7 linked regions of the Cricetulus griseus genome follow. The protein of the gene in region 1 interacts with the protein of each later gene in a pairwise test. Links are inferred from orthologs where the notes say so. Each region holds a gene or a part of one and is shown in the gene's direction. Other genes may lie near its edges.

Region 1 (3,500 bases):
TGATTGGAGCATTAGGTGCCTTCTCTGAGAAATCTGTTGTACTCAGTGCCATGAAGGAATACAAGGTGTGTCAAGAATCTGTCTTTTAGAAAGAGCTTTCAGGGTGATTGGGAGTTTAAGATAACTGGAAGATTTACTAATTAGATGTCAAGATAATAATAGATAGTATGATCAGCAAAGACTTGGTTAAGGAAAAATTGGCACTGTGCCTCAAAAGAATTAAGCTGAGAATATCATGTTATTTTTAGTTCTATCCCCACTAGACATCACGCTCATGCCTCACTTGTGTACACATTTGGATCTGGAGCTCTGTATGTGCTGTGGTCTCTGGCTGAGTTCTTGGTAAACATAAGTGAATTGTTAAGATGAACTCTGAGTTCTCTGCATTTCCAAGGCTTTCTTAGTTGGTTTTAGATTGTTCTTCAGTCCTTACTTGCTGGCACACATTGAAATCTATTTAGGTAGACATTACTGTGTATCTGCTGTGTGGATGTGGTGCTGGGGCAGAAGTAAAGAGGAGACTGTAGGAAAGATGTGGCAGGAATCTGGAACATCTTGGTGGTGTTAATCTGTTCTATGATCATTTGGGAGTTTTAGCCAGTTGAAATGGCAAGAGCAACTAACTAGGTCCCTTCCTCTGTGAATACCTTGTGGGGAAGAACTGAGACAAAGATTATTGCAGTTGGAGATGAGTGACCTTTGGAGTAAAGTTGGATTGAAGGATGACTGAGGATGTTTTCAAAAATAAGATTTGACACTAAGGAGGCAGAGGCAGGTGGATCTCTGTGAGTTCGAGACCAGCCTGGTCTACAAGAGCTAGTTCCAGGACAGCCTCCAAAGCCACAGAGAAACCCTGTCTTGACCCCCCCCCCCAAAAAAAAAAATGATTTGAGAATGTGGGTCTTGCCTGATGTAGTAAGTTGTTTCACTTGGCATGAGGGTTCTAAGCAGCTTGCTTCCTTCCTTCTCTCCCTCTGTCTCCCTTTCCCCCTTCCCCCTTTCTCCCCACTTCTTTTTGAGACAGGGTCTCATGTAACCCAGGCTGACCCTGATCTTTCTGTGTTGCTGAGAATGACCTGCCTCCAATTCTCAGTGCTGAGATTTCAGGTGTTGCTAGAGGTCAAACCTAGGCAAACACTTAAACAGCTGATCTACACCCCAGACCTGTTGCAGGTGTTTTAAAGCTGTTACACATCAGGGAAGCATGTGGAGTGGCAAATTCTCTGACAGTTGTTTGTTTCTGTCATTGGATTCCCTGAAGACCAGTTGGCCATAAACTGCTGAATTACGTAGAACCCAGTGCTGTATTTGAAAATGCCTCATTCCTTCTGACCCTGTTGATGTCATATGCTGTTATAACCTCATCCATAATGTTGGTTGTCCCTGAGTGAGGTAGGATGTGTGCTTAAGTTTTAGGAAAGTTCCAGCAACTCCTAGAACCTTTGAAACTACCAAATGAGTGCCATGCTTTCACTTATATTTTGGGTTCTTTGTCTTTACTGCCACAGGCTTTCTTGATCATGGATGGTGAAGATATACCAGACTTTTCAAGTTTAAAGGAAGAAACTGCTTATTGGAAGGAACTTTCCTTGAAGTATAAGCAAAGGTAGTGTTTAAAAACTATTAAAATAGGGGTCGGATTTGGAATATGCCATGTATAGCTTGCATATTTTTTTCTTTTGGGAGTATAAGGCTAAATTTAGAGTTTCAGCTTTAGGATTTTGATTTCATAGTCATAACAATATTTGTATTTAAATAGTATAAAGCTACCACCAGTCTTTATGTTCTTCAAATTGTAATAGCAGGAAGCTTTAGTTCCACCTATGATTTCTTCTGATTGCTTGCCTCCTGTGCCTTGTCACTAGTCTGGGGCTGTTTTTGACCTTCTGTGTGAGTACTGGTGCTCCCTCATCATTGGCTCATTTGAGATGCTTAAAACAGACTTTTATCTTTTCGGGCATGCATTATTAGTGTTGGGAGGCAGCTGAGCTTCCAAGCTATGGAACATTTTATAAAATTGCTTTTATAAAATAATATTTTACTTAGTTGGGAAGAAAATAGCTCTTTGGCCTTAAAACTTATCCTAAATTCCTATTATTTAATAAATCTTATATTTATTTGAGATTTGTTTTTATTTTATGTGTATGTGTATGCATGTATGTCTGTGCACCATGTGCATGTCTGGTGACCATACAGACTAGAAGAGGGCGTTATAATCTCCTGGGACTGAAGTTAAAGATAGTTGTGAGCTGCCATGTAGATGTTGGGAATTGAACTCTGGTCCTCTGAAAGAGCAGCCAGTGCTTTCAACCACTGAGCCTTCTGTCTACCTTTGAAATCTTACTAGAACACTTGCACATTTTCCTCCTTTGGTTGACAGAGTTAGCTAAGCTTTATCAGATCCCATTGTTCTTTCCTTGTAGTTGTATCAGGCCAAGGGATGAAGATGCTCTGTATCCACAGAGGTTCTTCCTTTGTTCTAACATTACAGATTCCTTCAGAGGCAGGGGAGCCTGTGAACCCCTTCTTAGAATACATTTAAATGCAGAAAATTAAGTAATGGCATTATAGAGAAAACCAGTTATTGAAAAAATTAACTAAATATTAAGTTAGTTTGTAGTATTAGAATAATGTATTAGTGCATACATTAGGTAAAAAAGATGGAGAAGCATAGAAAACTTCCTGGTTCTGAATTAGTGATGAGCGAGTGATGCTTAGATCTGTACCAGCCATTGTGATTTGAGAGTATGTGTTGATTTCTAGCAATTAGAATTCAAACTTAATTCCCAGTTGAAGTTACTTCAGTACAAATACACACCCCTCCTCTTGCAGTTTTATGGTGGTTTTGAGCCACATAGAACTACGTTTGTGAATTACTGAGTTATGTAGGATTTTTTGTGGGGAGGGCATATAACTACTTTTTATTGAATGCTGAATATATGTGGAGCAAGAAATGCATTTTCTTTACTGTTTAATATTTTATGAGAACATTAATTTTTAGTCAGAAATTATGGAATTGATACGTAATTATATGAGAGTACACAACTATTAACTCATCTTTCTCATTTTGCTTCTGCTTAGCTTCCAGGAAGCTCGGGATGAGCTAGTTGAATTCCAGGAAGGAAGCAGAGAATTAGAAGCAGAGTTGGAGGCACAGTTAGTACAGGCTGAACAAAGAAATAGAGACCTGCAAGCTGATAACCAAAGACTGAAATATGAAGTGGAGGCATTAAAGGTAACTGTGGCAGAACCTACTTCCCTGGGTGCAGTACTGACTAGTGTACTGACTTTTATTAGATGAGAAATGTAGGGCCAGACAAATGGCTTGGTGGGGAAAGGCACTTGTCACTAAGCCTGACAACCTGAGTTTGATTCCTGGGTCCCACATGGTAGAAGAAGAGAACCTTTTTCTTCACATTGTTTTCTGATTTTCACACATGTGATGTAGCAAGAGCATATACATACACTACATGAAATTTAGTAATATTTAAAATATGAGA
Region 2 (3,500 bases), on another chromosome or scaffold:
ACGCAGCACATCCAATGCCGGCCGCTGCACTGACTAACAGGTAAGAAACTTACAATTTCAGTAGAGTTTAGTTTTTCTTGTTTTATTTTCCGTGCCTCATGTCAGTGTTGTCCTTGTTCTGGGTTAGGATTTTTAATGAATTTTGTAGACGTTCTGTAGGAAGAATAGCTGCCCAAACTCATTGAGTAAGTGAGTATTTGGTACTCATAGTTTTTTTTTTTTCCTTATTAAACTCATTGAGTAAGTGAGTATTTGGTACTCATAGTATTTTTTTTTTCTTATTAGACTGATAAAATTCAGTTCAATATCAGTTTCAGTAACATAATGTTAAAATACATTCTGTGTAGAAAATGTCAGTCCCGATCTGTGGTATCTGTTTTTAAATGTTAGTTTTTCTTCATCCTTCTTTCAGCATGTGTGTATCTTACTCTGCAAAGACATTATTGTGACAGTCATGTGATACTGGTTCTGCAAGATTTAGGAGCACAGTTTTGATATTCTCTAATCAGAGATTTTGATGAAGTAAGGGATAGGTGATTATTACATATGCTTTATTGCAAACACATAAATTGTGTTTCTTAAGTTTGTGCCTATTTAACTTGACAGTGCATTCCTTTTTAGTTGCATACACATGTATAGGCAAAAAGAATAATTTGTACATAATGAAGTGTCTTTGATAAAACTGAGTTCGTTAAATACCTACTGAAGGGACTGCCTTTCGTATCACCTGAAAAGGCTGCAGTAGAAGTAAGGATTGCAATGGTTTTTCAGTGCCTCGGGACTTGGATTACTGTCCGACCAACAGAGACAAATGTTTATCCAGCAGCAGCAATTCCAGCAGCTGTTAAACTCCCAGCAGCTCACACCGGTAAGTTCTCTGTTTTGAAAGTGTGTGTGTGTGTGTGTGTGTGTGTGTGTGTGTGTGTGTGTGTGTGTGTGTGTGTCTGTTGTTGTAGACTAATAAATGTTGATTATGGTGTAGGCTCCTCCATTGTGAATATGTATCCATAAAGTTGTCCTGCCCTTTGATTGTTTTACAAATGTTAGAACATGTATTGCGGTGCTAACTAAGCTCTGGGGATTGGAATTTGAGCAGTATTTTCCTGGTAGTTCACTTTAAGTGATGGTAGTAAGGGACGCAAGTGAGATGTGATGAGGGCATCAAATGGTCCAAGGATAAAGTAAGGTGAGGGCCAATTTATTTCTTTTGTGGTAATGGGAGGAGAACCCAGGGCCTCACATGATAGGTTGGCCTGACTAGCATTCTACCATGGCATTCCATCACCAGTTCCAGTTTGAGATAGGCTTGTCCAGTCTTCTTGGGAGATGGCATTTGAACCATTCTGTCACATAGCTCTAATAGTTAAATCAGTTGTGCTGATCTTGCTTCATTCATGCCCTAGTTTTCTTTCTTTCTTTTAAAGGATTCATCGGAGAATGTTGAACTTGAACAATGATTAATGATAGTGATCAAGGGTTTTTAGAAAGGGTTTTGGGAGGGAAGCAAGATGTGCTCAATAGTAGAAATGGGAATCACTAGCAGGACAGTTGGTATCCTGATGTAGTGCCATCTCTGGTTAGGTAACTGTAGAATTGTAGTATGTTTGAATGATAATCAAAAAGCAAAAGAGGAACACTGAACAGTTGGATGTTGACCTTTACAGACATACAGAGGAACCAAAGGGAAATAGTTTTCCTGAGAAATAGTATTTCTATTATCACGTTCAGTTCATCCTCCCGACCCATCTGTTAATTCCTTTATCTGCAAATCAAAAATAGCAAAAAATGTGCATTTGTACTGGATTACAACACTGTGTAACTATTTATTATTTTCATTATTTTCTTTGTATTTGTAACTATTTATATATTTTCATTGTGTCCTGGTAATGATTTTAAAGTATATGGGAGAGTATACAAGCTAAATACAGACACTATGCCCTGTGTGTGTGTGTGTGTGTGTGTGTGTGTGTGTGTGTGTGTGTGTGTGTGTGTGTGTGTGTGCGTGCTAGGATATTCATATGTATCACTGGTTTGCTTTGAATTCATGTCCTCCAGCCTCAGTCCCCTCAAGTGCTGGGATTTCAGGCATCTCAGCAACTTAGCTTTAACTGTGTCCTAAAAATGTAAGATGAAGTATTCTTCTGATAGTGTATGGGATAGGGTAGCACACACCTATAATTCTGGCACTTGGGAGTTGAAGGCCATACTAACTATATGAGACTGTCTCAAAAAGCCAAAACCTCAGCCTCTTGTTTGCCTTCTATCACCACTGCCATTTGTCCCTGCATGGGAGGTAATAGACTGGTAAGTCGAGTCATTGTCCTGTGACATCGTGACTTACCAGTCACATACGGGCAGTTGGTCTTCTCTCCACCTGCTATGACGTCACGGTCCTACCTAGCTAGTCCTTTTTTGTTTCCCATTTGGGCTTCAAGCTCTTTTCTTCAGCCTTCTTACCTAAAAGTTGAGTTCAGCAATGTCCTTCACTCTCAGATGTTTGTTTCAGTTTGGTCCATGTATAGTTGCCTTCATCTTCAGATTAGAATTCTGTCCAGAGCATCCCACTTTGGATCCCCCACTTACCACATAGCGCACTTGACATGAAGGGCATTTAAACATGTCCCAGCCTGAGCTACCATGCTTGACTGCTCTCCTTTTCCCAACTCCATCCTTTTAGGTGCCTAAGTCAAAACTTGTAGTCTATCTTTCTTTCCTTTTTTTGTTTTTTAACTACATACTACAGTGACTTCATTTACTAGGTGTAGTAGCACACAGCTTTAATTTGAGCATCAGGGACAGAGGTAGGCACCCTGCATAATGAGACCATGTCTGGTCCCACTCCCGAAAGAAAGAAAGGAAGGAAGCTGCCTCCTCTGCTCAAAACTTTCTCTTGACTTTCCAGCTTCCCTCTCATGGTCTAGGTGGGAGCCATGTGCTCTTTCCCCTGCTTACCTGCCTGCCATTGGGCTCTTGTGGGTCCAGAATCTTTGTGCACAAGCTCTCCCTGAGATCCTGGAAATGCCCTCCTTCCTGCTTATCCTCTTTGCTAATGCGGTACCCTCCAAGTCTTTGTCCTGTGTTGACAGAGTAGTTGAATGACTACTTACTGCATTCTCATGGACTTTGTCTACTCTTAGCAATAATCACACTGTATCATTCTTTCTCATTCCCTAGGCAGGCAGGCAACTACCACCATGTATCCCAAATAGCTAATACAGTGCCTATTAGTCAGCACCCAGGAAATCTATCTTGAAAGGAATTTATGCTTGCTGAAAAGAAGAATCCAGAAGTGCAGCAAGAAAACACTTGCTAGGAGTAGAATATTCATTTGGAATATTTCTGTCAGGGCCCCTCCTTGAGAGGCATCTATCTGTCTGGTCCGGCAGACTTATCGGACCGGTGCTTGGAAGGAGGTGTGTGAGTTGAGGAGAGAATTAGACAAGAAGAGTCAGGAGGGAACATCCAGTGACTACTGTGATAATCAGCCCCAAGTTTATTAC
Region 3 (4,021 bases), on another chromosome or scaffold:
TCTCCTGCCATCCAGGAATCCCTTGCTCATTCAGTTAGTCAACAGTTCCTGGAATGCTTCTGAGATAAGACACTGTACCAGGCACTTTGGAGGACCCAAAAGTGATTAAGGAGCAGAGCTGACCATGTAACTGATGGTCCAGTAAGGGGAAAAGGTCACACACAAAAGAGGAAGTAGATTGCAAACGACATATAAAGGAGGGACGGTCGGGCAAGGCTGCCCGGATTCTGTGCCATTTGAGTCAGACATTAGAAAACTTAGGCTTTGACCCTGAGAAGGGGCATGGAGAGAAAGGGCTCTGGCAGGAGGTGCTGGATCAGAACAATGGGATAAGGTCACAGGGTGAGAGGTACAGGGAACCACAGTTCTAAGGGCAGGGGAGATTAGAGGGAACTTTTTGTCTGCCTCACTTGCCAGTGATCCTTTGAGCTGAGCCTCACAGTTCCTCTGTGAAGCAAATCCTGGTCTTTCCAGTTCATAGAGGAGGGAGCGGAAGTGGAAGGCCTGAAGTAGCTTGCTCAAGGCCAGAAAGTGTTAAGTAGGAACCGGAATTTGAACTTGAATGTAGCACCTCAGAGCCCGTGCTGCTATCTCCTGAATAGAATCTGTGAGGGGAAGGAGGAAGAAAGGACCAGCAAGCCCTTTTCTGGTCGTGGGGGTAGCAGTCTTAGATGGGTAGTACCTGAGGTGCCCATAGTGAGGCAGCCAGACTCCTGGACTTTTTGGACTGGTTCTAGAGTCCAGGAGGGTTGAGCATCTGGCTTCCCATTCATCATCCTATTGGAAGAGCTGCTGGCCTCTGTGTGGGAGGCACAGGAAGCCAGTATGGTAGGAGATACTAGAAGGAAATTTTAAACGTGGCCTTGTTTGTGGATTTTTATTCCCAAGGCTACCTCAAACGTTGCTACTGTGCAAGAGCCCTCCCTGACTCCCTCCCCCGCAACTTCAATCTCCCCTGGGGTCCATGCAAGGCTCAGTCTGCACACGACTGCTGCTGCGTTGTTCTGCACTTGCTCCTTTGTTGCTGTGAAACGGGCTCCCGGCACAGTCAGCCTCTGTGTGGGAGGACTGGTGGCTGTCTTTGTAGGCAGGCATTTGCTTAGAACAGGCTGCGTGTGAGCCCAACATCAGCGAATCTGGCCTTGAGTCGGTCGGTCAGTGGTGGTGGTGGGATGAGGCGCTGCCCTGGAGACTGGCTGTGAAGGATGAGTTCAGGGTGGGATGACGGACCGCTTCTGGGACCAGTGGTATCTTTGGTATCTCCGCTTACTTCGGCTGCTGGATCGAGGTATCCTGAGTGCGTATCTGGTCGTGTGTCTGTCTGTGTCTATGTATGTGTACAAGCATGTGTGAGAGAGAGGGACATAGACGTGGAGAAAGGGAAGTGGGGGAAAAAGAAAGAAGGCATGGAGCAACAGCAGGTAGCTATACACGGCAGATAAAAGAAAGGCTGCTTTTATGGGGACATGTGTGACCTAGCTGGGGATGGGGAGCACAGAGCCATTTGGGGAGCAGCTGTACAACACAATCACATTTCTTGCTGGGTTTTTCACCAGGCTCAGTGTTGTAGTCAGGCAACTTAAGCAGCATCCGAGAAGTGATGCAGAGAGGAGACTGGTCCCCGCAGTGGAAGCTGGGGCATACCTATGCAGACTCCAATCTCAGCCCAGCTCTGGGACCTTACATGGACTTGTGTGTTCATCTGAGCTTGTTTCCCCATGTGTGAAATGGGCATTCTGGGACCTATCATGCAGGAATTGTTTAACCCCTGCATGTAAAGCATACCATCATAGTCAGTGTGCACACTAGGTGCTTAGTAAATGAGTAGTTCTTCAGTGGCTGCATCCTGGAGCTACAGCACTTTTCCTGGGGACAGCTCCCTTTGTGGACGCTCTACAGACAGAGCCTGTGCAAAATTTGAGGTTATGAAAAGGAAGACGGACAGCTTGACTTCTCGAGTTACTCTGCCCTTAATTCATTTCACCCTCACTAATGCAATCACTAATGCAAACCCCCTGGTAGTAATATACAAGTCCGGACGGTAAAGAAAGGCCACCGTGAACTTTGTGTAGTAACTGGTTTATAAGATGTGGAATGTTGGCGTTTGAGAGCTTTGGCTCCTTTAAGAAGTTTTGGCAAGAGTGAGACAAAATCTTTGATGAAAGAGACGTCTTGGAAAAGCTCTGCTACCTACCCCAAATTGTATCACCCACCCTCAGTCAGGCGTAGTCTCCGGTACACCAGGAGGCAAATGCTGGAAGCAGAGCTGCCCTGAGCAGATGTACCAAGACCTTATCGGGGGAGAAATCAAAGATGGAGGAACCCAAACCAGCATACTCGGGAAGCAGGCTTTCGCTAACACTGAGAAACACCCATAGCAAGCCAGACTTGAAATGAAGATTGAGAAGGGAGCCAGAACTTTGTACTGATAGGGATCATAGATTGGGAAAGGGTAAGAAAACCACCTCTTTTCTGTGTGATCTCGGGCAAGTTATTACCCCTCAGTGTCTCTGTGCCTCCTTTCCTTCCACGGCGTAAAGAGAAGCCTATTGTAGTGGTGCTGATATAAGGGGCTGTTGTGGGTTAAGTGAGAGGCTGCAGATGAAATACCTATCCCAGTGCCTGTCAGGAACAAAATGCCCTTTGACTGTTAGGTCTGGTCAATAACACACCAGTTCCTGCTCTCCTGCAGGCACCCTGGGAGAGACAGGAACAGGTGGTTTGCAACAAGAGAACGTTTATATTTTTGTGAACAGAGGCCATGTTCAGATTATCAGATCATACCAATTTAAAGAAGAAAGGAGATGCTAAAATGTAATAATAATTTATTTTCAGTTTTCATAAAATGAGCTGCAAACTTGTTTCAGGCACTAGCTTCATTACTTTCTAAGGGTCCTTGAATAAATAGTCTATCCTTGGCTCATTAGTCTTGGCTCAAAAATGGAAAGATTAATAATACCTACACCATAGAGTTTGCAGGAAATGTGTTAGTTCCTGTAAAGCATCCCACAATAATGAATTTGTGGATTGATGGATCCCTTAGACAGCAGAAACTAGCTTCCAGAATTGTATGTTTGTGCATGCACATTTGGCCATAATGTGTAGGCTTCTGGTCATTCCCGTACACAGTATCTATAGGAGTTTCTTAACATGAAGATTCAGACTGTTTAGGGTATCTGATTTGAAGGCTGGAGTGGGTTGAACATTGTTCATGTCACTCAGTTTTAGTTGATGGACAATACAGTTTTATAAACAGTATGTCCACATGACATACTTGTATCCACGTTACAACAGAAGTTTGCGTAGAGCAAATATAGTGATGTTAGCCAGCGTTGCATAGGAAATGGTATGTTTTACAGATTGAGATAGCTCATGGGAAATGCTCAACAAATATTAGTTGGATGAATGAAATGAATTAATGAATTAGAGAATGACGAACCCGCCTCACAGAGCAGTGAACAAATTTCCCTCAGATCTCTAGGGAGACGGAATTTTAGCGCCTTTCATCTGTTTTAGGATTTTATCTTTCCCTTGTTATTGCTATGCCTTTTGTTGCCTTGAAAGTCTCAGGCTTCAGGAAGGCAAGGAGGGAATGATGAATTTAGCCCCAGAAATTGAAATGATGGACAGGCTGTGTTCTGGCCTGAGTTGTCTGTGTGTCTGTGACTGGAGGAGAAACACATCTGTGACTAGACACACTTAAAAGGGAGAACACATCAGAACACACTGTGAAGCAAAAATAAACTTTACAGAAAAATAACTGTGTATGCTTTCTTACTATAGACACATTTTTCACCTCCCCCATCATTGTTCAGCTAATAGTAAGACTTAAAAACCGAATATATTGTTTTCGAGAACTCAACTGTGTGGTATATACAAGGATTTATGTGATACCGAACTGTCAGCTCGCTCAGACATTGCATTTTGGTGATTTATTCTCATTAATAACGAATGCAGTTTTTACTGTGTGTGCTGCTGGGTATTTATCAACTCTACTGCCTGTGGTCTGGGCTTTCAGATG
Region 4 (3,500 bases), on another chromosome or scaffold:
CTCAATACACTTACTAAGGAGGGATTGGAATGTGGGTGACATTCTTGCTCACAAATAACATACTTTTTTTAAAAAAAGAAGTAATTCTAAATACCCTGTAAACTCTTAATACATCAATTTTTATTAAGCTACCTAAGAGATTATCAAATATATTACTATACTAAAATGGCCATTTTTCTCTCTGTCTTTATATAAACTTAGATCATAAGGTCATGAGATGAGCTATTTTCAAGAACACCAGCATTAGTGTCAAGTTTTACAGGACTGGAGAGTATTAATTTCATTGCTTTTTTAGTTTAGAGTTTAAAATTTTAGAAGCCATAGACTAGACATGCTAGGCATCTTTCCCACTGAATTACACCCTGATGCTAGAATATAATATTCTGATGAAAATAGGTATTTGTTATAAACATTGATAACTTTGTGTTCATTTGTTTGTTTTAATAGCTAAGAATACCTCTCAGGAAATCATGTTGAGAGAGCTCCAGGAAAAACTAAATCAGCAAGAGAACTCACTAATATTAGAGAAACTAAAACTTGCCTTAGCTGATCTGGAAGGGCAGAGAGACTGTTCACAAGACCTGTTGAAAAAAAGGGAGCATCACATTGAACAACTGAATGATAAGTTAAATAAAATAGAGAAGGAGTTTGAAGCTTTGCTGAGTGCTTTGGAGTTAAAAAAGAAAGAGTGTGAAGAGTTGGAAGAAGAGAAAACTCAGTTTTCTTGTTGGAAAAGTGAAAATGAAAAACTTATAAATCAGATAGAATCAGAAAAAGAAAGCTTACAGAGTAAAATCAACCACTTAGAAGCCAGTCTCAGGACGCAACAAATACAAAGTCATGACTACAGTGAAAGAGTAAGAACACTGGAAATGGAAAGAGAAAACCTTAATGTGGAGATTAGAAACCTCCACAGTATGATAGACAGCAAGATGGTAGAGATCGAGACACAGAAACAAGCCTACTTGGAGCTGCAGCAGAAAGCTGAGTTCTCAGATCAGAAGCATCAGAAGGAAATAGAAAATATGTGCTTGAAAGCTAATGAGCTCACTGGGCAAGTCGAAGATTTGGAATATAAGCTTCAGTTACTGTCAAGTGAAGTAGTAACCAAAGAGCAGCAGTACCAAGGCTTGCGTACTGAATATGAAACGCTGAGGGATTTGCTCAAGTCCAGAGGTTCTCTGGTGACAAATGAGGATAATCAGAGAAGTTCTTTGGCTTTTGAACAGCAGCCGACAGTGAGTGACTCCTTTGGAAATCTAATGGGGGAACAAGGAAGCATGTATTCAGAAAGGAGTGACTGCTTTGTAGATGGGGACCAAACTTCAGAAAATCTATCTGTCTTACAAAATAGAGTCACTTCACTTGAAAGTTCCCTGGAGTCTCAAAACCAGATGAACTCGGATCTTCAAAAGCAGTGTGAAGAGTTGCTACAAATCAAAGAAGAAATAGAAGAAAACCTCATTAAAGCAGAACAGATTCATCAGAATTTTGTGGATGAAACAAACCAACGCATTGGTAAATTGCAGGAAGATTCTGCAGTTCATCAAAATATTGTTGCTGAAACTTTAGCAACCCTTGAGAGTAAGGAAAAAGAGTTGCAACTTTTGAAAGAAAAATTAGAAGCTGATCAAACAGAGATTCAAGAATTAAAGAAGAGTAACTGCCTTCTTGAAGAAACTCTGAAGGAGCTACAACTTTCGTCTGAAACTTTGAGCTCAGAGAAGAAAGAAATGAGTGACATCATCTCTTTAAACAAAAAAGACATTGAAGAGTTAACCCAAGAAAATGGGGCTCTCAAAGAAGTTAATGAGGCCTTATGGCAGGAGAAAATGAATTTACTCCAAAAACATGAGGAGATTTCCAGATGTGTTGCAGAACAAGAGAGAAGCATTTCAGAGTTGTCTGATCAGTATAAGCAAGAAAGACATCTGTTGTTACAACGATGTGAAGAAACAGAAACTGTGTTGGAAGATCTCAGGGGTAACTACAAAACAGCACAAGAAAACAATGCTAGGTTAGAATGTTTGCTCAGTGAATGCACTGCTGCTTGTGAGAATAGGAAAAATGAACTGGAGCAGTTAAAGGAAGCATTTGCAAAGGAACAGCAAGAATTTTTAACAAAACTAGCTTTCAGTGAAGAGCAAAACAGGAAATTGATGCTGAAGTTGGAGATAGAGCAACAAACTGTGAAATCTAAGATTACAGACACCAAAATCTATTCTAAGAGTGAGACTGATGGTCTAAGGCAAGAGACTTTAAAGGAAGAGCAAAATAAAAAGGAAAAGGAAGTTAGCAACTTACATGAGAACGAGCAACTAATGCAGTTAACTCAGACTAAACATGAGCATTATCATCTTGAAGTAGAATCAGTTGAGAACTCTGTAAAAGCAACAGAAGATGAGATAAATATGTGTAGTTCCCAGTGTCAGATGGATATTGACACTAAAGACATTTCTCCCGACAGTTACAAAGCACAGTTGGTACAACTAGAAGCTTTGATTAAAGTTATGGAAGTAAAGCTTGATCAAAGTGAGGAGGAGAAAAAAACCCTGCATCAGGAATTACAAACAATTAGAGGGGAGCTAGAAACTGTGAGTTCACAGGACACTCAGTCACATGAAAGGATTGGCCTTAAAGACTGTGAAATAGAAGCAGAAGGAAAGTATGTGTCAGTGCTCCATGAGTTGTCAACAAGTCAAAATGAGAATGCACACTTGCAGTGCTCTCTACAGACAGCATTGAATGAACTAACTGAGCTAGGGAAAGTGTGTGAAGTACTGAAGGTTGAAAAGTTAAAACTACAGTCTGAGCTGAATGACTCTAGATCACAGTGTATTACAGCAACTAGTAAAATGGCAGCAGAGGTTGAGAAGTTAGTGAATGAAGTGAAAATCCTAAACCATGAAGGTGTTCTTCCTCAGAGCAAGCTAATGAAAGATGTGTCAGATGTGTTGCATGATAAACGAAACATGACTCCTTTGGACAGTAGCGGTTTCTGTGAACAAATAACCTTGTCAGACAAAGAAGTTCCAGTGCACTTTGCTGAGTTACAGGAAAAATTTTCCTGTTTACAAAATGAACACAAAATTTTACATGATCAGCACTGTGAGGTGAGCTCCAAGATGTCAGAGCTGTGTTCCTATGTTGACACATTACAAGCTGAAAATTCTGTCTTGTCAGTGAATCTGAGAAACTTGAAGGGTGACTTGGTAAAAGAGAGGAAGCCTGGAGCTGAGAATGGACATACTCTGTCAGTGTCGTTCTGTGGCACAGACAGCCCTAGTCTGACAAATTTTGGAGAAGCTTTGTACAAAGATGTTTTAGAACAAACTGACAACACATCTCTTCTAAGCTTAGAAGGGAATGCTTCAGCAAACCCTTGTAATGTAGATGACGTGTCTTACAGCAGTCTTGAGGAGGAAAATCTGACTGAGAAAGAAATTCCTGCTGCCTCTGTGAGGACTATTGAAGAACTTGAAATCCTATGTCAGGTGTAC
Region 5 (4,139 bases), on another chromosome or scaffold:
GAAGGAAGGCAGGAATGAAGAAAGAAACAACTTAGTGGAAAACGGGTTTACTTTTAGTGCACAAATTCATCATTATTGGGAAGTCAAAGTAGGAACTTGAAGGAGCTACTCTTAGCCATGCTGCCATCAAGAGCAGATGGAGAAAGAATGCTTACGTGTATATATTAAGCTCATCAGGGTTCCAGCCCAGCACTACAAGACAAGGCAATCAGAAATATAATAATTAGTGAGATCTTTTATCAAACCAAAACAGGAGGCAACTGTGCTATCTCATGAAAGTCTGTGTTAAACAGCAATTCCAGAACAGGAAGTCTGAATGTATAAGTTGAAATAAGACTAACAATCTCGGCAGTGGGTGCATGCCAGCAGCTCTTTGCTTTCACTCCAGAGAATGCCGAATATTTTGTATGCAGTAAGGACCATAAGCTAGCCTTGGGGTAGAGAAAGCTTGGTTCTTATTCTCGTTTGCTTCATTAGCTGGTGACATTATTGTTACCTTTCTTCGTGCCATAAAATACCTACTTGCAGAGTTTTAACGAAAAGAGATCATCTCCAAGAAATCCTTTGTGCATCAAAAAGGATTGTAGCAGCCACCTTTCCATTCCCTCCTCTATCTTCTTCACCACTGGCACCCAGGTGCACCAACATAAATATGGCTATAAGGGTCCTGGGTTTCGGAATGACTCGATGGTACTCTCGAGATTACCAACACTCTGAGCTTTGCATCAGGTCTTTCCGTTAGCCCATGGTCTACTTCCTTCATGTGTAACTCTCTATATATCTTTAGTCAGTAGTCTGATTATCCCTAAGCTTCCTGTGTCAGAAACCATCCATAAGAATATGCTCCAATTGGTTTTTCATGAGTGCAGATATTAGTGCCTGGCTTGCCACTGTCTGCTCTGTGTTTCTGTTAAGGTGCCTAGATTACCCATTAAGCCACATGCTATGAAGCATGGCTGTGTCTAAATATAAAAAGTTAATATTTAATAATGTACCAGAATTTAACAGAAGACTGGCCAGGTCTTAAATAATTATTATTATTTTGTGTTTTCCAACCCAGAATTCTTTTTAATAGACTAAGTATTTGTGGTAATCTTGAAATTTTTGATTTATAGTAAGATTTTGATACAAGTTTGTGGATGATTTTTTTTTCTATTTTCTTAAATCCCGATTTTGGCATACTATTATTGTAGTAAAAACAAATTTTCATTCTTTGTCTTGAAAAACTACTCTGTTTACTGGGTCCTGGTCAAGATTGAATTTTATTGACTTGCTTTCTTTGTTTTATCTTTTCCCAGGCTGCTAAATTGGCTATCGCAGTGTAAGCCTCAGGGTTCCAATGGGGGACTCAGGATCAAGACGATGTACCCTGGTCTCCCGGTTGCCAATATTCAGGAAAAGTATTAGCAGAAGACATGACTCTCTCCCGTCTTCACCCTCTTCGAGTAACACAGCTGGTGTCCACAGCTCCTCTCCTTCCAGCACTAACTCCAGCTCAGGGAGCATGGGGAAACGCAGGAGCATATTCCGAGCTCCCTCCATCAGCTTCCACCACAAGAAGGGGAGTGAACCTAAGCCAGAACCCACCGACCAGAACCTTAGTATTTCCAATGGTGCTCAACCCAGTCACAGCAATATGCAGAAACTAAGTTTGGAGGAACAAGTCAAAACCAGGGGAAGACATTCTGTGGGTTTTAGTAGTTCGCGAAGCAAGAAGATAACAAGATCTCTGACGGAAGATTTTGAAAGGGAAAAGGAACCTTCCACCAATAAGAACGTCTTTATAAATTGTCTAAGTTCTGGCAGAAGTGAAGGGGACGATTCTGGATTCACAGAAGAACAAACTCGCCGTTCTCTTAAACAGTCAACAAAGAAGCTTCTCCCCAAATCCTTTTCATCTCATTCCAAATTTTCTAAGTCGGTTCCACAGAGCCAATCCAAGTCATTGGTACAGCAGCCTGAGTTCTCCCTGGCGATCTCACAGTACCAGGAGCGAGAACCGGCCTTAGGAAGACCTTCCCCTTCTTGCTCCGCAGATGGAACAGAGCACGCAGGAAGTTCCTTACAGTCCCCTATGCTTTCCACAGACCTGACCACAGCTCAGACCCCTTCAGAATTCTTGGCCTTGACTGAAGACTCTTTGTCTGAAGCAGATGCCTTTCCTAAAAGTGGAAGCATGGCATCGCACTGCGACAACTTTGGTCACAATGATGCTACCTCTCAGCCCACCCCTGGTCTCACAGCTGTCACAAAGACAGCAATGGAATTTGTGGGGACTGTGCCCTGTATGATGATGTCTCCTGGGAGGTACAGGTTAGATGGCCGGTATGGCAACGAATTGCATTCTTTACCAGAGACCTCTGCTGCAAACCAGGGGGCAGCTTTGATGCAAAGCACTGGGCCCCTTGTTAGGAATGTGAGTGACCCAGAGACCCACCTTCCAGCTGGTCATCAAACAGAAGAGAAACCTGCTTCTGAACCAATGCCAAGGACCAGCTCGCCCAGGACACTGGGCTCCTATGACCAGCACAAGGCGCTGGCTGAACGAATTAAAGGGGTCCACCCTGTTTCGGATTCAAGGGTAATCCCTTCATCGGGGGATCACCATGTTTTTAACAAAACATCCTATGGATATGACGCAAGTGCTGCCAAAGGTATGCAGACTTTCCACGTGCAAAAATGATGTAAATTAATTTTCCTTATTATTTGATCAATTATTTTTACTCCATATCTTGAGTGGGGGCACCTTTGAATTTATAATTACTGTTAAATGTTTGCTTTGATTGATTTTAAACTTGTTGTGATGGAGATGTAAGTCTGTGATACTCATTTTTCTTAGCTGTATTATTTATGTTATTCTGACCTGAGAAGAAAGTGGAAGGAAGGCAACTCTACTTGGAATATGACTGTCATAGTGTTGCTACTTGCTACTTAATGAAATGGAGGCATTTCAGTCAATTTTTTTCATAAAGGAAATTGTGCAATTTCAATTCTGTTTCCTGTGCCCCCACCACCCCCCCCCCCCGAGATAGGGTTTCTCTGAGGCTTTGGAGGCTGTCCTGGAACTAGCTCTTGTAGACCAGGCTGGTTTCAAACTCACAGAGATCCACCTGCCTCTACCTCCTGAGTGCTGGGATTAAAGGTGTGCGACACCAACACTCAGCTCTGTTTCCTGTGTTAACAAAGCTCTATTAACTAGGATCTATATTTTGATATAAATAAATTCTGTCTGTCAAAATAAAAGTATAGTCCTTTGAGTTAGAAAGCCTGCCAAGTTCAAAACCTACCTCAACATAACTATGTAGCTTTAAATTTTAAATGCTTTTACCTTGGTCGTTGCATGAGTGTGTATAAAGAGTGTGTGTGTGTGAATTATTTCACTTTGGTTTCCAGAAAATACTCAAAGGAACTGTTGAGTGTCTCCCCACTCACTTGCCTCTTTCCCATGCTCTATTTTAGTATTTTCTCTGTGTCATTAACATGGCTGCTAGCAATAACTGTCTCAATGTTGAAAATGGTGCTTAGGTATCCAGAGATAATGTGTGGTCTTTGTAAGTGATAAATGAAAATGGTCTCACTTGTTCTTCTAATTGTTAACTCTTTCTTAAGCAAGTGGACTGTGGGCAGGGAAGATGTATACTCTTCCCGTGTCCCAGAGCAGATGATTGATGGGCACAAGCTCTGTTTGGCTTTTTGTGCTTCAGATTTTGCAGACTGGGAAACAAGCCACTGTGTAGCAGTGAGGAGGTTAGCATGGTGTAAAGTTCAGAGTCTTACACTATATTATATGAATGATATAAAATATCAAATAAAGTTAAAAATAAATCAAATGACATATTATCATATCAAAAATCATTAAGACAGCTGTTGAGCTGGTCCCCTTAGAACACAACAGTTTTGTAGTCTAAATACATAAGTTTCTTGTGAGCACATCTGGTATAGGACAGGCTGACCCTAACTCCCCACGAAACCCATGCTGGCCTTGACCTAGCAAATGCCTGAGTGATGGAATGGCCAGTATGATACAAGACAGATTTGCTTATGTGACTGCTGTTAGTCTTCAGAAGGGATGAAGCCAACTGTGACTGTAAGCGCAGAAATTTTCCCGAGGTAGAGAACCTTTGAATCATTCTAAGATT
Region 6 (4,086 bases), about 36 Mb from region 1:
GCCATATTGCAGAGATAGGGAAAGATTACCCACAGCAGGAGTAATAAAAAGTCACACTTGTTATTTCCAAAAAAGCCCCGTAGTGGGGAGTTCAGGAAACAATAAAACATATTACAGTTTTACAGTGTTTTGATCACTTGTGATGGGAGAAGCTGAGGCTTCTTCGTGCTGTCTTAACCCTGCCCCAAGCAACTCTTCCAAAACTGTTTGGGAAATCGGGGGTAGGTGTGGGCTGCCTTTCAAAATCCAGACTCTCAGTCCAGTGCTCTGTGCTGCCATCTGACCTGTTGCGTAATACTAAGTAACTGGATTGTCTTCTTGAAATTTCCATTTTGTTCTTTGCTACCGGCCAGCACCCCAGCTGGTGGGAATGATGTCGGTCTTCTAAGACATCCAGTGGACCTTTTTTTGTCCCAGGTCTCTGGATTCGGGACTCCAATTAACTCAAGTGTTGCACACTTTGTGCCAAGGACACCGAAACAGGAGTCACACACATGCTGAAACATGACGATCAAGAATTGTCTGCACTGCTCCCAAACAACAGGAGCCCTCCCCTCCCCCAACCTCTGCGCGGGTGGCGGAGTTCTGGGCTCCTCCTCTTCCCTACCAGACTAGGGGAGGGGGTCCTCTTTGGAAAGAAAATAGCTGGGGTTAGCGGCTAAATACAGGCAGAAGAGGCAGGATGGAGAGGGTGCTGGCGGCCCAGGTCTGGCCACTTGAGTCAGTCGCGCGTCCCGGTCCTCGGCTGGCCAGGCCTCGCAGCAGCCCAGGTCTCGCCACGCGGTGAAGTTCTGCGGAAAGTTTTGCAGTTGCTTTGCTGCCCGCGCCAGCAGGAGAAGCTGTGACGCAGCGTCTGGGGCTCCAGGCCCCGGCTGAAAAGAGAGGGAAGACGAGGCGGGAAAGAATTAAGGAGCAGAGTGGAGGAAGATAAAAGAGCGCACGCTGGGGACGGTCCTTGTGGACCGCGCTGATCCTCCTCTCCTGCCATCCCCTTCTCTCCCTCCTGAAGCGCGGCCCCTGCGGCCGGGTCCCCAGCCCCGCGTCCCCGCAACTCCTCCTTCCCCTCCCACGCTGCCCACTTCCCTTCCCCTCTACCCCTCAAACCCTCCTCCTGGGTTCGGCGCTCCTCCCTCCGCCCTCCCTCCTCGGGGCCTGCCTCCTCCCTCCTCCTCTCCGGGAGGCATCACATCGTCCCGACCCCTCGCCGGCGGTCATCCGAGCCCAGCATCAGTGCGCCACTGCGCGCAGCCCGGCCGTGCGCCCCCGGTCCTCCGAGCGCCGCAGAGATGGGGCCCATCCGACCTGCCCTCGAGCCCTGGCCTCGTCACCTGCTGCGCTGCTTCTTGATTCTCGGGGGACTGCATCTCGGCCACCCGGGGGACGCCGCCGCCGTCCCCGCCGCCCTCCCGGGTAAGGCGCTGCCAACTTGGCCAACTTCGGGGGCGGGCCCGAGGGGAAGTGGGGCCTCTTGATTTTATCCTCTTTTTTTTTTTTTTTTTGACTCCCTTATTTTCTGGAGGTAGGTGTAAGTGTGTGTGTGTGTGTGTGTGTGCGTGCGTGCGAGTGTGCGTGTGTGTGCGTGTGTGTGTGCGCGAGTGTGCGTGTGTGTGCGTGTGTGTGTGCGCGAGTGTGCGGGCGTGTGTGTGTGTGTGTGTGTGTGTGTGTGTGTGTGTGTGTGTGTGTGTGTGTGTGTGTGTGTGTGTGTGTCTGGGTTTTTAAAAATCGCCTCCGCTTTTCTGGGAGCGAGGGAGGAGATGGGAGGAGGAGCGCGCCTGGAGGTGGGGGAGGACCTGAGTGGAACCAGATGTGGCAGGCGGCGGGGGAGGGGATCCTGGGCACTGAGGCCTGGGAGGGAGAGGGAGGGAGATGGAGGGCTGGCGACGACTCGCGTCCGGGCGACCCCCGGCGCCCGCCCCGAGCTGGTCCGGTTTGGTGGGTGGGATGCACCCGGAGAGCCAGAGGCGCGTTGTTTCACACTCCGTACGTGAGGGTCAGGCGCCTGTGCAGCGTCTGGCAGGGTCTTTATATTTTCTTTCTTGGTCTTCAAGGACGGCTTGTGGCATACAACTTCTGTAGTGTTCGAATGGAATCCTGTGGTACAGTTTTATGTCAGAGGGCCGAGTGTGTGTGCATCTCTGTGTGTGCGCCTGTGTGTGTGTGTTCGTGCTCTCACTTTGTGTGAGCAATTCTAACTAAACTGGCACTTCTCCAGAGTGGACAATCTTAAGCTGCAAAAGAGTTTCTAAAGATGCAAAACCACAGCCCACAAAAAACCAATCATACAAGCCCCCCTTCTCTTTTCTGCTGATTCTTCCTCCTCCTCCTCCTCCTCATCCTCCTCCTCCTCCTCTTCTTCTCCTCCTCCTTCTCCTTCTTTTTCTTCTTCTTTTTCCAAGAAGAGACTGAAATGTGAGGTCAGACAGGTCTCTCACCAAGACACCGAATATTGGTGGGGTAGATATTCCTCCCTGAGAGGATTTTCAGAAGTAAAAAATAAAGCGCTGGGTGCTGCCTCCACAAACCCCTTTTATGTTTCACTGGGGGCTGGGGTGAGTGGAAAGGGATGGGACTGCAGCTTTGTGCTGGGGGGCGGGGGGCTGGAGAGTCTGAGGCCTTTCACAGTGGCCTGGTGTGCTGTGGGCATCTACTAAAAGGAAAGGAAGGGTTGGGGTGACCCAAGTCACATAAGGACCTGAAGCTTAGACAGACAGGAAGCAGACTCGGAGGCCTGTCCCTTACTCCTGGTCTTCTCCACCTTAAAGAACAGGGCACTGCTGGATTCGAGGGAGGGAAAGGATGGCCATTCCAAGAGCCCTAGCCTGGGTTTTAAAGCCAGGCCCTGGGAAAGAGCTGGGCCAGACGGCTGACTAGGTCTTTTCCTCCAGAGAGCTTTTGACAGGGGGGTGGAGGTGCCTGATGAGGGGCCCAGTTAGGGAGGAAAAGGAGGCCTACAGTGTCCCCGTGCCTCCTGATCTTTGCTTCTGTCTCTTCCTGCGCTCACTCTCAGGTTGTCTGTCCTACACATGAAATACCCATAGCCTGGGTGGTTGCATTGTCTGGATTACCCATGCCAGGCCTGGGCTAAGGCAGCTGGGGTGAGGAGCCTCCACTGAAGCAACTGAACAGGAGGGCAGCATCACACAACTCCCCTCTCAGTGCACACAAGTGTCAGGTGAATCCTGGAAGTTGGCAGGTGGGGGCAGGAGCACCCAACTTCCATATGGGAGGCTGGTGCAGGCCCTATGGGCTCTTGCCGCTGTGAGCCTGATATGAGAGGCGGCCACTGGCTAGGGAAACCGTGGCCCCAGGAAATGCTTGTGGGAAGTAGGTAGGATTTGCCTGGCAGGCTATTGCTGGGGTGAAAGGCCCCCTGGGGGAGGGGCTGCGGCTTTGTAGCTGCCTGATCACCAGCAGGAAGTCCAGTGGGCTCAGGACTGCAGAGATACTGCAGCTCTCTTGGAGGTCAGAGGTGACAGGGCTGTAGGAGTTCTGGACATAGGATGGCAGAATTCATCTTTACTTCCTCAGGTAAAGCGTGTTGTTACTGCAATACTGGTCCATTCTCCATGTATGCAGCACCAAGCCACATGCTTTACAAGAGTTAAAAGGTGTCCTTAGAGAAAAGGAAGGAAATCTTCCAGAATGACACAGGTTGAACCGTTAGTGTTAGGTGAAGGCTCAGTTGGTGAGGGCCCTCTCTCAGCCTGGAAGCCCTGTTAAGTCCAGTTTCTCCTTTAGCTCTGATGATAACCCAAAGAGCTAGGTATCATTGGACCCATTTTGCAGAGTGCAAAATGGAGTCTTAAGGGGAGTCTGATGATTTATTTTGGGCACATCTAGTAACTGAAAGGCTAGGACCAGGGATGCTTGATGACTACAGACAGAGGAGAGAGTGGTCCAAGGAGGAAAGGCTGTCTGGGGAGAGTGGGGAGGCCAGAAGGGAGAGAGAGCAGGCCACGAAGGAGACGGCTGCTGCTGAATTATGGGGAGGCTTCCTGGGTTCCTGAAGGAAAGGTTGATGGAAACTGGCCAGGTGCCTGGAAGGCTCCACTTGCAGCTGCCTGAAGTGCTGATGCTTTCTTACTA
Region 7 (4,272 bases), on another chromosome or scaffold:
GATTTCTTGACATGTAAAATGGGAACACTTGTAAGATAAAGTTTTAAATGCTTTGGCTATATGAAAATAACGTAGATAAACAAATATCGTATTATTTCAAATAATTGGTAGTTGTTTTTTTTTTTTTCTGGTCTAAGAAAGATTCAATGTACTAAACCAGAATTTGAATTGTGTAAAAAATATGAATGAGAAATTTATTGGGTTAAACATCTAAGTATAGTAACAGGGTAAAAGAGGCATAGAGATGCCCACAAGTTTGTACTGGCACTAGCTGACAGACACCTAAATCAAGATGTAGGTACCCTGTTGGGTCAGGTTACCAGAAAAAGAGCTAACAGCGTTGCTTAATCCTACAACCAAAATCAAACTATTTCATCCTTAAGATCAGAGCAACATCCGTCTTCTTTCTCCGCGGCCTGGCTGGTGCTCAAGGAAAGTGTTAGGAAAACCACCCACTACTGCCCAGGGTACCTAGGAGCTAGGCACTGAGATTCGGAGCAACTCACCCCGGAGACTCCGTTGGTATTGCCCCAGACTGTCCTCCAGGGTAGAGTTCCCTGGGGATTTCGCCATGGGGTCAGAGATGGGAGTTATGCGGGAAAGTGTCCAGTGCACCCCTCCGAGGACAGGCCTAGCGCTGGGGGTTGGGGGATGCCTGCCTGCTTCCTGTCGCGGCTGTCACTAGGGAGCCAGGAACCCTGGACCGATCTCCTGGGGGCTCTTCCTACTCCCTGGCCCTCATGGTGATCTTCGGGAGTTGTAGTTCGCAGGCTGAAAGCTTGCTACTTCGAGAGTCCTATGAGCCTTCCAGCAACACTACGATTCCCAGAGGGCTATGCGCTCAGGGCGCCACTCAGGCAGTTTAGCGGCCTGAGACGGTTGCCAAGAGACGGACTGGCAGGCCGCGCCCTTTCCCTCTGCCCAGCTTGGATTAGTTCTGCTCTCCTGCCATCCTCCAGCCACCTGGATCGACCCGCTGACAGAAGGGGCCCGGTGAAGGCCCCTCCAAAATGGGTCGTTGTGGAGTTGATCTCTAAGCCCGCTCAGGGATTCACTGTAAACTCTGTATAAGTTAGGATGTCTGTCAAAATCGTTTTTCTCTAGAAAATGAAGCAGAAAATCTTCCAAACAGCCAGATTGTGAAGGCGGCGGACACTACAACTCCTAGAATGCCCAGCGCCCCGCCCTCCGCGTGGAGTTGGCGCGCTGCCCGCTGGGAATCGTAGTCCGGGTTGGTTGCGGTCCTACTCCAGCCAGGCAGCTCTTCATTGTTCCAGCAGCGGGTCTGGAGGGCACGCCTGCGCAGTGGGCGGCCGGGCGAGCGTGTGGCTGAGACCCTCCTCAAAGCCCCCTTTCATTGTCTGGGTCTGGCGCCTGCGCAGTAAGGCATCGCCCGGCCCGGGGAAAAAGGAGGGAGAGGGTCTGGCTGCTTGCCCTTTGCGAGGCGCCTGCGCACTGGGCCGCCGCTCGCTGCCGTTCCCGCTATGTGTGGGGCGTGTGTGGAATAACGTTATTGCCCGGCGGAACCGAGGGGGCCCGAGCTCCGCGGCGGCGACGACGACTACGGCGACGGGGTGGGGGGAGGACAGCGTGGCAGAGACTGACGGGACGCGCCGCGCCGCGCCCCGCCTCCCGGTCCGGTCCCTCTCGGCGGTGAGGGGTAAGTGATGCGCTCGGGTTCGGAGCGGCCCGGGATTCTGCACATCCTCGTCCGCCGCCTCCTCCTCCTCCTCGGCTGCTGCGGCCGGGGTCGGGGCGCGGCCCGCGGGCCCGAGTGCGAGGGGCGCTGCCCGGGACGCTCCGCGCGGCCGCCGCCCTCCCTCCCCTCCCTCCCCCACGGGCTGCAGCCGGACGCCCCGGGCCGGCTTCCCTTCGGCGCGCCCCGCTGCTCTTCTGCTGGCCCCGGGCTTTGTGCGGCGGCCGCCAGAGGCGTCGGCAGTCGCTGCGGGCGGAGCGTCGAGGGAAGGGGCCGCTCGGCCGCTGGGGAAACGAGCTCTCCCGGGGCGCCCGTCCCTTTTATGTAGGGTTGGTTTCGGGGTGTGAGGCTGGTGGCGCGGGGTGCGGGGAGGTCGGACGACGGGACGAGCGAGCCTTCGGGTGGCGTCGCGAGGGCGTGGAAGACGCGCTGTCAGGCAGCCTGCCCCGCGCGACTGCACCCCACGTAGCCTCCGGCCCTGGTAGCAATCCCCGCGGGAGGAGCGAGTGGCTTCCCGTGGGCTTCATTGTCCCAAGATCCAGTTGTGGGGTTTGGATCTGGTTCCCTTCCGTTTTATTCGAGGGGGTAGGGTGGGGTGGGGGGAGAAACAGCAGCTGCGTGACACGGAAGGGAAGACAAGGAAATGTGTCCTAAGTCATATGATCTCTGTTTTCTGGTCTTGAGTAGTTTCACTGTTTTTTTTCTTCGTCTTCTTTTTTTTTTTACCCCCAAATACGAAGAAGACAGGCTATACCTGCTAGAGTCCGAGCCTGCCTAGGTGATCAATATAAAACTACTAGGTGACAATGAAGGCTGGGCTAGGTAGGGCCTAACAGCGAAGCTGTTGTTTAGCAGGGAAATGAACCAGCAGAATTATTTTTTTCCACTGGGTGGGTGATGCGTTCATGTTCCTAAGGGAATACATTAGGATACGCTGAAAGCAAACAAAACAAAACAAAAAAATAGGCCGGGTATATTTCAGTTTCTGAAATTGATTGGTTTCTATTAGGTTAATGAAAATTCACCCGCCGGAGAGGATTTTGTTGATGCAGACAATACATTTGGTTGAAAAGGCATCCTTTAAAATGATTCGAATCTTAAGCGGATGGTATTTGCAGTGCTACGCCAACCTTTCTGCTTAGAACAAGCATCTGATAGGATGAAGCAGGATGAGGCGGGGCAGGTGGAGGGATATGTGAGAGTTACATTATAAATATGTACTTAGCCTTCAGAGACCTAGGAATTCAGCACTGAGAAATAGCTAGTCTTTTTGCCACAGTTTTTATTTTTATTTTTTTAAAAATAAAGTCAGGGATGCTTTTAGTTCTAACTCTTGTAAGTGCTATAAAACTTTGGTGTCCTAAAACAAGACTTAAGTGGGCTTAACAGAAACTAAGACGAAGCTCACACTGGCAAAGTCGGGCCCCCTTGTCTGCCTCCCTGAAGCAATGGAAGGCAGAGCCCAACAAAACCAAGATCTGTACTGTTGTAGTGTGATCTCTCATATGTGTGCCCTAGTCCCCTGCCCTGCACAAATACATAGAACATTTTCTACATGCTCCTTGAGTGGTCTTTTTTCTTTTTAAAACCCTATTCTCAACAGTTGTATTAGTTTACTCCTTGTATTATAAATTATTAATTATACTGAAGTGGCCTTTTGAGTTACAGATTAAAGGAAGATGCCATAACATGTGCTTTTTGTAAAAACAGACTGGCTTCCCTACTTATTAATAACCTGACATCCAATAATATTTTACAGTGTGGTCAACTCTATAACCTGTGTTAAAAATAAAATTTACACACAAGAGCTTAATGATGTTTGTTTTTCTTTAATTTGTGAGTTATATTCTCAACTTGTACTAGAACTTACCTTTTGATAATATATTTTGGGAGGCTTATTTTGCTATAAAACGGGGCTTTTATTGAAATACAATTTTTGTTCTTTCTGCTTAAATTTAATGTTATTTTTAGAATGTATTGGATTTTAGCCAATTTTTTGTTTTGTTGGTTTGGGGAGGCAGGGTTCAAGACAGGGTTTCTCTGTGTAGCCATGGCTATACATGACTGTCCTGGAACTCCCTCTGTGTATTCCAGGCTGGACTAGAACTCAGAGATCCACTTGCCTCTGCCTCTCTGAGTGCTGGTGTCACAGGCATGTGCACCACCACCCAGCTTTGTTACTTGATTTTTTTAGAGACAGGGTTTCTCTGTATAGCTCCGACTGTTTTAGAACTTGCTCTGTATATAGGCTGGCTTCAAACTCAGAGATCCACCTGCCTGTTTCCTGAGTGCTGGGATAAAAGGTATTCGACACCGTGTTGGGCTTAGATTTCAGCCAGTTTTTTAAAAAAATTCATAATTAAATTCCATATGTGAGTTTTAGTCAGTAAAAATTTAAATATATTTTACTAATAAATTTCATGGTATCCTAAGATTATTTTAGCATTAGAATAATGAAGTTAGACATCAGGTGGTTTTTAAAATTCCGTGCTTAGTAATTTGTTTCACTTACTCATTTCTTTTTATTTACGGGGGGGGGGGGGGGGGGTCAAAACTCAGTTTTACCACTGCATCTG

The links.
Region 2: the proteins of Ndel1 (region 1) and Mllt10 interact in a two-hybrid assay, tested with the Homo sapiens proteins (2 studies listed by BioGRID and IntAct). The link is inferred for Cricetulus griseus from reciprocal best matches to the Homo sapiens genes NDEL1 and MLLT10.
Region 3: the proteins of Ndel1 (region 1) and kalirin interact in a two-hybrid assay, tested with the Homo sapiens proteins (2 studies listed by BioGRID and IntAct). The link is inferred for Cricetulus griseus from reciprocal best matches to the Homo sapiens genes NDEL1 and KALRN.
Region 4: the proteins of Ndel1 (region 1) and Cenpf interact in binary tests that used the Homo sapiens proteins (3 or more experiments, as listed by UniProt). The link is inferred for Cricetulus griseus from reciprocal best matches to the Homo sapiens genes NDEL1 and CENPF.
Region 5: the proteins of Ndel1 (region 1) and Ccser1 interact in binary tests that used the Homo sapiens proteins (3 or more experiments, as listed by UniProt). The link is inferred for Cricetulus griseus from reciprocal best matches to the Homo sapiens genes NDEL1 and CCSER1.
Region 6: the proteins of Ndel1 (region 1) and Mrc2 interact in a two-hybrid assay, tested with the Homo sapiens proteins (2 studies listed by BioGRID and IntAct). The link is inferred for Cricetulus griseus from reciprocal best matches to the Homo sapiens genes NDEL1 and MRC2.
Region 7: the proteins of Ndel1 (region 1) and Cep170 interact in a two-hybrid assay, tested with the Homo sapiens proteins (2 studies listed by BioGRID and IntAct). The link is inferred for Cricetulus griseus from reciprocal best matches to the Homo sapiens genes NDEL1 and CEP170.

What each region holds. Positions count from the first base shown.
Region 1 is NC_048600.1:82,734,308-82,737,807, reverse strand, and holds part of Ndel1 (nuclear distribution protein nudE-like 1), read left to right. Parts: intron 1-1,508; 5' UTR 1,509-1,520; coding exon 1,521-1,606; intron 1,607-3,081; coding exon 3,082-3,235; intron 3,236-3,500. UniProt on the Homo sapiens protein: Required for organization of the cellular microtubule array and microtubule anchoring at the centrosome. May regulate microtubule organization at least in part by targeting the microtubule severing protein KATNA1 to the centrosome.
Region 2 is NC_048596.1:215,139,754-215,143,253, reverse strand, and holds part of Mllt10 (protein AF-10), read left to right. Parts: coding exon 1-40; intron 41-771; coding exon 772-868; intron 869-3,500. UniProt on the Homo sapiens protein: Probably involved in transcriptional regulation. In vitro or as fusion protein with KMT2A/MLL1 has transactivation activity. Binds to cruciform DNA.
Region 3 is NC_048597.1:55,085,662-55,089,682, forward strand, and holds the start of kalirin, read left to right. Parts: upstream 1-1,221; coding exon 1,222-1,288; intron 1,289-4,021. UniProt on the Homo sapiens protein: Promotes the exchange of GDP by GTP. Activates specific Rho GTPase family members, thereby inducing various signaling mechanisms that regulate neuronal shape, growth, and plasticity, through their effects on the actin cytoskeleton.
Region 4 is NC_048598.1:5,316,868-5,320,367, forward strand, and holds part of Cenpf (centromere protein F), read left to right. Parts: intron 1-447; coding exon 448-3,500. UniProt on the Homo sapiens protein: Required for kinetochore function and chromosome segregation in mitosis. Required for kinetochore localization of dynein, LIS1, NDE1 and NDEL1.
Region 5 is NC_048601.1:81,425,152-81,429,290, reverse strand, and holds the start of Ccser1 (serine-rich coiled-coil domain-containing protein 1), read left to right. Parts: upstream 1-1,339; coding exon 1,340-2,654; intron 2,655-4,139.
Region 6 is NC_048600.1:118,268,829-118,272,914, forward strand, and holds the start of Mrc2 (C-type mannose receptor 2), read left to right. Parts: upstream 1-1,286; coding exon 1,287-1,410; intron 1,411-4,086. UniProt on the Homo sapiens protein: May play a role as endocytotic lectin receptor displaying calcium-dependent lectin activity. Internalizes glycosylated ligands from the extracellular space for release in an endosomal compartment via clathrin-mediated endocytosis.
Region 7 is NC_048598.1:16,976,103-16,980,374, forward strand, and holds the start of Cep170 (centrosomal protein of 170 kDa), read left to right. Parts: upstream 1-1,472; 5' UTR 1,473-1,660; intron 1,661-4,272. Other genes in the region: serologically defined colon cancer antigen 8, read right to left, coding at 507-573.